Linked DNA regions of Coturnix japonica. The protein of the gene in region 1 interacts with the protein of each later gene in a biochemical or structural test. Links are inferred from orthologs where the notes say so. Each region holds a gene or a part of one and is shown on either strand. Other genes may lie near its edges.

Region 1 (4,508 bases):
TGAGAAAAAATTAGGAAAGAAATGTAATATCTTAACCTGAAATCTCTGAATCAAGTCAATATCCTCTCTATTAAAAAGATCTGCATAACATTATAATAAAAATCCCTGCCACAGAGTTGAACGTGCTGTACTTTGGAAATCTCTAATTGAAAAAGGTACAAGCAAACTGTGATAAAGCACATTAGAGAGAAGGCTTGAAAGAGCTTTACAGTAAATGGTACAATGGACATTCTCTAGTTTTTAAAATTAAGAACTATACATAATTTAAACTGAAGTATGTGGAAAAGTTCCAAATCAAAGATAAAGAAAATATCTGAAGATAAAGGGTTTTGATCAGTATCTTAGAAGTCACTGCTTTGTAATTTTATCCTTAAAGACCTCATGTTCTACCTTCCCCCTTTCAAGTCCCCAGCATAAAAAGAAAGGTTTCCTTTTTCTACTAGATTCTGTGAAAACTTGGTTCTTCAGCCATGTAACAATAATTTCTCTGTAAGTGAAAGTCTAGAGCAGCATGTTCTTTAATTCGGTGACGAGGACCTTCATTAGATTATCTCATAGCTATTGGGCAAGATACTGCAAAAGCCAAATGATATATCAGTAAATTATGTTTTCTTCCTCTTGAGGCAAAGAACGAGTATAGCGTTTGATTAATTTGAAGAACTGAAAAGAAATAAAAGGGCTCCATAATCTGTATCAGGAGTGACAAAGCTGACACTATTTTTAAAACCCACTTATTTATAGAATCAACTGTAAGCAGTTAATTATATTAATTGTGGAAATCGCCACTACATTACATAGCCCAAATTAATTCAGATCAGTGCATTCTTCACTGTTTCGTGTTCTCCCTTGCACATGCCTAGTGAAAGCCTGCCACTCTGCAACAGAGGAAGGAATTACTACAACAAAACTGAAGAGCACTTTGTTAAAAATTGTACTTTGTTGATATGACGCAGAAGCTGTTTAAAGTAATGGATTGATTCGTGTCCCAATATCTTTCAACAGTTATTCTAATTGTGTTTCACTGTATCTTCAGGCAGTTAGAAATACAAACCACAGGAAAGCTATCCTGAAATTGCACTGAAACAAATGACATTCCCTTCTGCCTTCTAACCCACAGGGAGCTCCGTCCAGTTACCGGAAAGGCTTACTTTATCTTTCTGCTATAAACTCGAGTTAGTTACTGGCAAGTCAACAGCTTTTAATCCAGTTAGCTTAGCATCTATGTAAAAACATCTGTTGCAGCCCATTAGAAGATCTGCTCCTGTCAGCAAAGCAATGTGCCTTAACCTGAAGAGCTCCAAGACTGCCCCCAAACATCTTTTGCTACAGATCTCTCTGATTAGAAAAAGAAATATCCCAAACTCCTCAGATGTTTCATGCATGCTGACATTTCTGCAAGAGCTTCTAAGACCACAACTTATTTCTACCCTGTGGGTGAGCTATTTCTCCAAGCCTGTACACACACCATATACCTCTGCTGAAACTACTGCGTTCAACTGGCGCTGCCAGAGCTCTTAGTGAAGTGTCAGAGCTGAACTATAAATCTGTATAACTGCTTTTATTCTGTGATACTCCTGTGTTCGAACAGAACGTGCATCAAGGTCACTGTACAGAATTGTAGTTTTCAGGCTCAGAAAGAAGATGCTAAAGAAATCAATACCAGCAAACTTAATTAAACGTAGTCTGAAGTTCTGTCTGCTCCCAAATTGGCACAGGAATCATTTCTCTATCCCCTGCATTCCACAGGCAGGTGCTTTGTAGATAGGGGAAAGCAGGTTGTTAGCTTAAACACTATCTGTGCTGAACAGTGAACAGGAGGGTTTGTCCTCTGCAGCGTGACAGGTCTGTTCAGAGCTCTTTGAGGTTTTAGCAGGAGATCACAGACTCCTGGGCCTGTTCCTGTGGAGTTCCTCCAGGAGCAGAATTAGCCCCCTGCCTGCTGCCCATGCTCTGCATCCTGAACATGTCACGGTCAACTTTCTGTTTCATGGCACTGCCAAGTACGATAATAGGTAGCCACGGGTGAAAGCAAGCAAACAAACAAGACCGAATAAACCATATCCTCACAGCAAAAGCACCTCAGAGGAAATGCCCAGGTAGGACACCAGAAAGTTAAAAGCATCAAAATCAAAACTCCAGCTTTGCTATCTTAATCCCTGACAGGATCTGAAACGCTCACACGCAGCCTGCCGCTGCCAGAAAGCAATTAAGAGTCTCCTACAATTGAGTTACAGCCCAGCAGAAAGGAAAAGGCATTTCACACTAATTCCTGTAAGTCACCATTTGTTGCAGCTGTAAGCGGGCTCCCCGCACCCAGTGCTCCCCCGGCACCGCGGTGCAGCGCGTACCTTTGGGATGCGGGACCGCGCTCCCCTGCAGCCCAGCCCAGCCTGCCGGGAGACTGAACTCCAAACCCGGTGCAGGCAACCAACAGCTGCAAGAAGTCACTCGAGATGCGGGGAGGAAAAAATATATATGCATATATATATTAAAATAAAAACATGAAAGAAAAGGAGCTCTTACTTGCCAGTACACGACCGCCGGGCGACCTCCTCTCAGCTGGTGAAACGGGGTGTCCCCGCTCGTCCTCCTCGGACCGCTCCGTGCTATTTCCAAAATATTTCCCCCGGGCGCCGGCACATCTCCGGGCTCACTAGGAGCGCGCAGGGAGCCCGTCCGCCGCGCCCCCGAGCCCGGTGCCCATGATGCCAGCCGCAGCCCCGGCCACTCGTGCTCCTTCCCTCCGGGGGCTAACACGGCATCACACCGATCTGCCGCCGCCGGCTTCAACTCCTCCGCTGCGCCGAGGGGCAACGAGGGGCTCCCCGCGCCCTTCCCGGAGACGGAGCGGGGCGCCGGGCGGGGGAGTACGGGGAGGCAGCGCCGCCCCTCCGCGGCGGCGAGCGGCCAGGCGAAGCGAAGCGAGGAGAGGAGAGGCGAGGCGGCGCGCCGCCGCCACCGCGGCCGCAGCCCGCCGCGGCGATGCCGGCCCCGCCCGGGACCCCCGCCCGCCGCTCCCGGGGCGCTCTGTGACGCCGCCCCACCGATGCTGACGTGCGGCCCTCCCCCGAGCCGTCCCCTGTGGCGGAGCTGGAGCTCGCCGGGACGCGTGGAAGCCGGGAGCAGTGTTCGGAGAAGGGATGCTGCCCTCCTCCCACCCGCTTCAAACTTCCCGTGCAGTTTCTACTGAGCGGGTACAGAGCGCCCGCTTGCCGGAGAGAAAACATATCGATCCCTATCTCAGTGTTGTGATGGGTTTATGATTCTCACAGAGTCTCTGTCGGCCCGGGTGCGACATCCCCGCTCATTGGAGTCAGCTCCCGGCCCCTGCTCGGGGCTCAACGCGGGGCGGCTGCCGCACACAGCGCCCCGTAGCGCAATGCTACCGCGGGGCGGAGGCGGCACAGAGCGGGGAAATAAACCTCGGGAGAGAAAAAAGGGAACCCCGGGGAGCCGCCTCTCTGCGCTGGCTGCGGGCGCGGGGGAGGAATCACGGTGCTGCCCCTCCCCGGCTTGGGGCTGAAGAGGTCGTCGGGGGGCTCTGCCAGGCGGGGTGGTGAGAGCAGCCGTGGCCTTATCCGCATCCACGTGTTGCGCTATAGCCGAGCGGAGGGTGGTCACAATCGGAAGCCGGGTGAACGGAGCTTAAGCGTTGTTCTCCCGCAGCTGCTCTGCTCGCCCTTTTAGTCTCCACATGTTTCTTAGGCTTTGTAATTCCTTTAGGAATCTTGTGCTCTTCTTCCACAGAGCTGGTGCAAACGAAAATGTTTGTGTTCCTTCTGAATCGCTTTTATAAATATTAACTTCAATAAAGTGCAGTGAGCCATTGAGAGGGAAAAGGATTTTAAAAGCTTCGTGAAAGCTACATGCAGATGCTCTGAAGAATGTAGTTAAGTGTTGACTTGATAAATGCATGAGAATATGCAGTGATAAGTTTCATGCCTAATTGAACAGATTTGTACTTCAGTTCTCATCTAGAGATACAGATCCTTATTTTTCTTCTTTTCTTAATACTGATTGATGTTAACAGAGTTCTTGATAGCTACGAGCTAACCAAGTTATCTGCCCTTTTGTGGCTCTGCTGAAAGATTGAGTGGTGTGAACTGACAGTTCTCCTGACAAGACTGGAAAGAAATGACTACAACAATACATATATTAGAGCTGGGATAATTTAAACACACGTCTGAGAATTGAAATAACTGAAATGTAATTGATTGAAAACTCTTCCATGTCAAACACGGAAATAGAACTGTAACCCTGTGCTCACACATTGTGGAGAAGATCAACGCAGCCCTTGAGAGCACAGTGTTTAAACCAAGTGGATACAAATAGTCCATTAACTGCTAGACCCAATCCCACACTTGATTTCCAATTCCTCTTTCTTGGAGACCCATCTCTTTTGTCTATGTCACAATGAAGAGTAAGTCTGTGTAAGCAAGAAAGATTCATTTTTACAAGAGAATGGTGTTAAAATTATCATGGCAAGATCTTTTAAACTCTTACCATGT
Region 2 (3,815 bases), on another chromosome or scaffold:
CTTTTCAAGCACTTCATTAGCCAAAATATATATCCTAAACGAAATACTTGATTTTCTCAAAGTTTCTTTTAGAATGCTATCACAGTGATTTATACATGTAATCATAATGGATCCTGCTAAATAACATCATATTTCTTTTTTATATGAATTAATAGCACAGGATGAAGGAGTCATTCATCTTTGGACTTCAATTTTGTGCTCAAATTCAGTGGTGTTACATATTAATTACACTGCTGTATTTCACACCTGACTTGACAGTTCACTTCAAGACAAATGTTTGCTTTAGGAGTCTGTATGACTCAGTATGTTACTACTGCCCTTCTTTTTAACACTACTCACAGATGAACACGCAGGACAGCAATCAGGGAACCAAGGACAAGATCCCTCTACAGAAAGCTTTCTGATTATATCAGCCAAAGGATACTCGGATTTTACTACCCACACTGACTAACTCCACCTTTAAAAGACTTTGTTGCTATGTTACTCTCCAGCTGTACTGCTTTGAACAGCCATCGTACATTACAGCGCTTCTACGTTTGAACTAAATTTCATGCAGACACTTATAAGCCATGCAGATCAGGCTGCAGTTATTATCTTTCCAATTGCCAGAGTTAAGACGTGCATTTTTTGTGTGCACGCATCTGCATTAGTTTGTGGGGAGCTGAAGTTTAATTTTGCTTTTGCGCAGTTCCAAAAACAAGATGTAAAGTAAAATGGAAATATGAACTCTCATGCAAATCAGCTCTTGTGCTTTCATTTCCAAATCATATTACATCATTTACTGTGTTTTAATGCATATTCTGGTTTGAAGTACAAATAAATGCTTTTGTCACTTTTTGATTCCAATTATTTTAAAAGCAAGAAAATACAGTGCAAGCCTGTAAGTGAATGATGTAATTTACCAGTTAGTTTTCAGTAATGGTAACAGGTAGCATTATTTTTAGTTTCTTAATAGCGCAAATTAGTCTCTAGTTCTAAGCCCTCTGTTAAGAAGGCAAGTTTCCATGAGAGCCCACATACGTGCTGCATTCACCAGTTCTTGATGTATACCTCTGTATACAAGGATTCGACAGCCTTCTGGCCTGCCGCATCTGGAACACAGTGCAAAGCTAAGATTAGAGTAACCTATACTTGGGGAAAGAAGAGAGGGAAAAAGAAAAGTGATGCAGACAGTAACAGCGAGGTTGCTCAGTTAGCCCCACGAAGGAAACAAACCAGCATACACAAAGAAAAGTTATCTGCGTATTTTCATACCCCCCAAAAGTAACAAGATTTAACATAGCAATTTTTTATTTAAAGCCAGCTCTCAGCTGCAAAAATAACTGACAGCTTTGGCTCTGTTGACAGAAACATTGATGCAAAAATATGTAGTCAGGTGTCAGATTGAAGTTACTGGATTTCAGGTGATGGGGGTGATGACATATTCAGCTTATTACAAAACATCCCACAGCCAGAAAGTGAAAAAGCATACCTTGCAGCATCTGAACTGTAAAAGTATTCCATTTGTTCTATCTGGCCATACTTGAGGACACTGTGACGCAGTTTAAATGCAAGCATGGATGAAATGCTGTCATCCACGCAGCTTCACCAACATGAAGATCTGTCACAGTGCCTCAGTTCAGAAATGCTAGATGGTGTTCACACTACGTCTCCAACAGCAAGATCTAATTCATGCGAGCAGGCATTTCTTCAGAAAGTATTTCAAATGGGAATCTGTATCTGCATATACAGTGAACTACGAGCAACAGACAATGATAATCTAGTAGCGAGAGTTGCTACAAGCACGTTAAGATTTTGTCATTGGAATGCACTATCCAAATATCAAAAATGCCTCGCAGGAATTAGAAAGGTTTGATTTTACTCACAGCAGCATAGCAACAAAAGATCCAACTGAACTCAGACGAATCCTTCTATGTCAGCACTTGCACGACCCACGTGTTCGAGACAGTACAAGGCACATAAAGCAACATATAGATAAGACTAAGCTACGTGCTCATTAAGAACACAAAATAATTTATGCCAGTCCGTAGGAAATTTCATGCAAAGATGCCACGTTACTACAGGACAGAATGGAAGACAGACAAAAGTAAAAATCTAGAACCTCGTGTGCAGAAGTGAACACCAACTAATTGCATTTCTTTAAGTTTCAGAGTAACATACGGAAGCTGCTGATCTTCCAGGTCCCCGCTGTGCTACAATGGCCCCAGAAATTGCTTTTATCCAACTGTGCATGTCTTCTGGACTGTCCGCCTGGATCAAATAACATGGGTTATGTTTAACAAGCAGCTCTTTTTCCAGCGTGCTGACCATCCTCATTAAAATCAGAGCCTTATCCTACTTGAAGGGTCTCTTATTTAAAGCCATATGGACTTGTATTTCTTAAAGCTGATATTCCATAAAAATTTTTCCTTTAATTTACCTTTATATACATATGCTTCTATAAAGTAATAAGCAGCAAGTGTATAAATAAATACACACACACACTATTTTACTTATCCTAGATTCATTTTTTTTTTTGCTAAGTTCAAACAAACAAATTAAACCACCCACGTTAATTCTTACAGGAGATCTGCTGACCTCCCTCATGGGACTCTGCACAATGACAGCTTCTGCATTTTTCAGTCACTTCTATGAGGTAATTACTGAAGAGCTACAGCAAAATAAGAAGCAGTCTATATTCAGGGTCTGCTATACATTTATGTAGAACAAGAGTCTTACACAGATGAAACAGATTAACATATGTATGTATCTGAGACAAAAGAAAAAGCTAAAGCTCCCTCTGTTAGGTTGCATATATATTGACTAAAACTAGCATATACATCATTAAGAAGCATATGAAACATGTCTATTAGATTCTGTTGAGCTGTGAGACTGCTCACAACTCATTTGGCTCCAAAACCTGTATAAAAGCCATTCTAATCCTATAAGAGAAAGCTAGAAATGAATTCCTCCTTCAGAAATAGGAGAAATAGCACTATAAGCATCACACTCCCACACAGCAAAACAATGCAAGTCTTTGAGATTTACGCTAAATCAACTTACACTAAATCAAATTTTAAAAAAAATAAGGAAGAGATGCAGTAAATAATGTGCATACAGATAGATACTGCCAAAAGCACTTTCAGATACAAAACCTAGATGTTCCTGTGCTATTTTCACGTGGCAACTAATTTTAATCTGAGAACTTGATTACTATAAATGAAAATTCAGTACCCTCAAAGTTAAAGGTTTAGTATATTGAGTAGATGCCACAGAATTTGAAGACACAAATACCAACCACATCACATTAGGATTTATTGTTCATTGCTTTCAGACACTAACAACAATTGCTGAGATTTAGAGTATCTCTTTCACCCATCTTCTGAAATATAATGAAAATTGTATTCCCTCTGAAAATCACAGTGCAGTTAAACACAACTTCATAAGACAAATGGCACTGCTTCCTTGCTTTGGCTACATCAACCCCTTGGTTTTACCCAAAGTTTAAAAGAAATTACCTGTACATAAAAGGTTCGAGAAGTAGTTACAATTTCAAAGAGATTGTCTCTCATCATTATATCACTGTAAATGAAAGAAGACAGTTCAACAGGAAGTTCAGCTTTTCCAATTCACTTCAGCACTCTAGAATGTGCAAAGAGCCAAAGCATGTGCTCTTTAGAGACCTCTGCACTCTTCACCACCCTATATATATTTTTTCCTTTAAAAAAAGTTGAAAAAGAAGAGCACCAACTCATTAAGCTTAGCCTTAAGACTCCTTAGTTCATTAGCAACATGCGTGTTTGCTTGATATTTTTACTCTGAATGTCCTAGATTGC

Evidence for each region.
Region 2: the proteins of SNTG1 (region 1) and PLEKHA1 form a complex in vitro, tested with the Homo sapiens proteins (2 studies listed by BioGRID and IntAct, with this or other methods). The link is inferred for Coturnix japonica from reciprocal best matches to the Homo sapiens genes SNTG1 and PLEKHA1.

What each region holds. Positions count from the first base shown.
Region 1 is NC_029517.1:98,331,062-98,335,569, reverse strand, and holds the start of SNTG1 (gamma-1-syntrophin), read right to left. Parts: upstream 2,954-4,508; 5' UTR 2,524-2,953; intron 1-2,523. UniProt on the Homo sapiens protein: Adapter protein that binds to and probably organizes the subcellular localization of a variety of proteins. May link various receptors to the actin cytoskeleton and the dystrophin glycoprotein complex.
Region 2 is NC_029521.1:27,852,525-27,856,339, reverse strand, and holds part of PLEKHA1 (pleckstrin homology domain-containing family A member 1), read right to left. Parts: intron 3,562-3,815; coding exon 3,498-3,561; intron 2,251-3,497; coding exon 2,161-2,250; intron 1,126-2,160; coding exon 1,051-1,125; coding exon of another isoform or gene 1,021-1,050; intron 1-1,020. UniProt on the Homo sapiens protein: Binds specifically to phosphatidylinositol 3,4-diphosphate (PtdIns3,4P2), but not to other phosphoinositides. May recruit other proteins to the plasma membrane.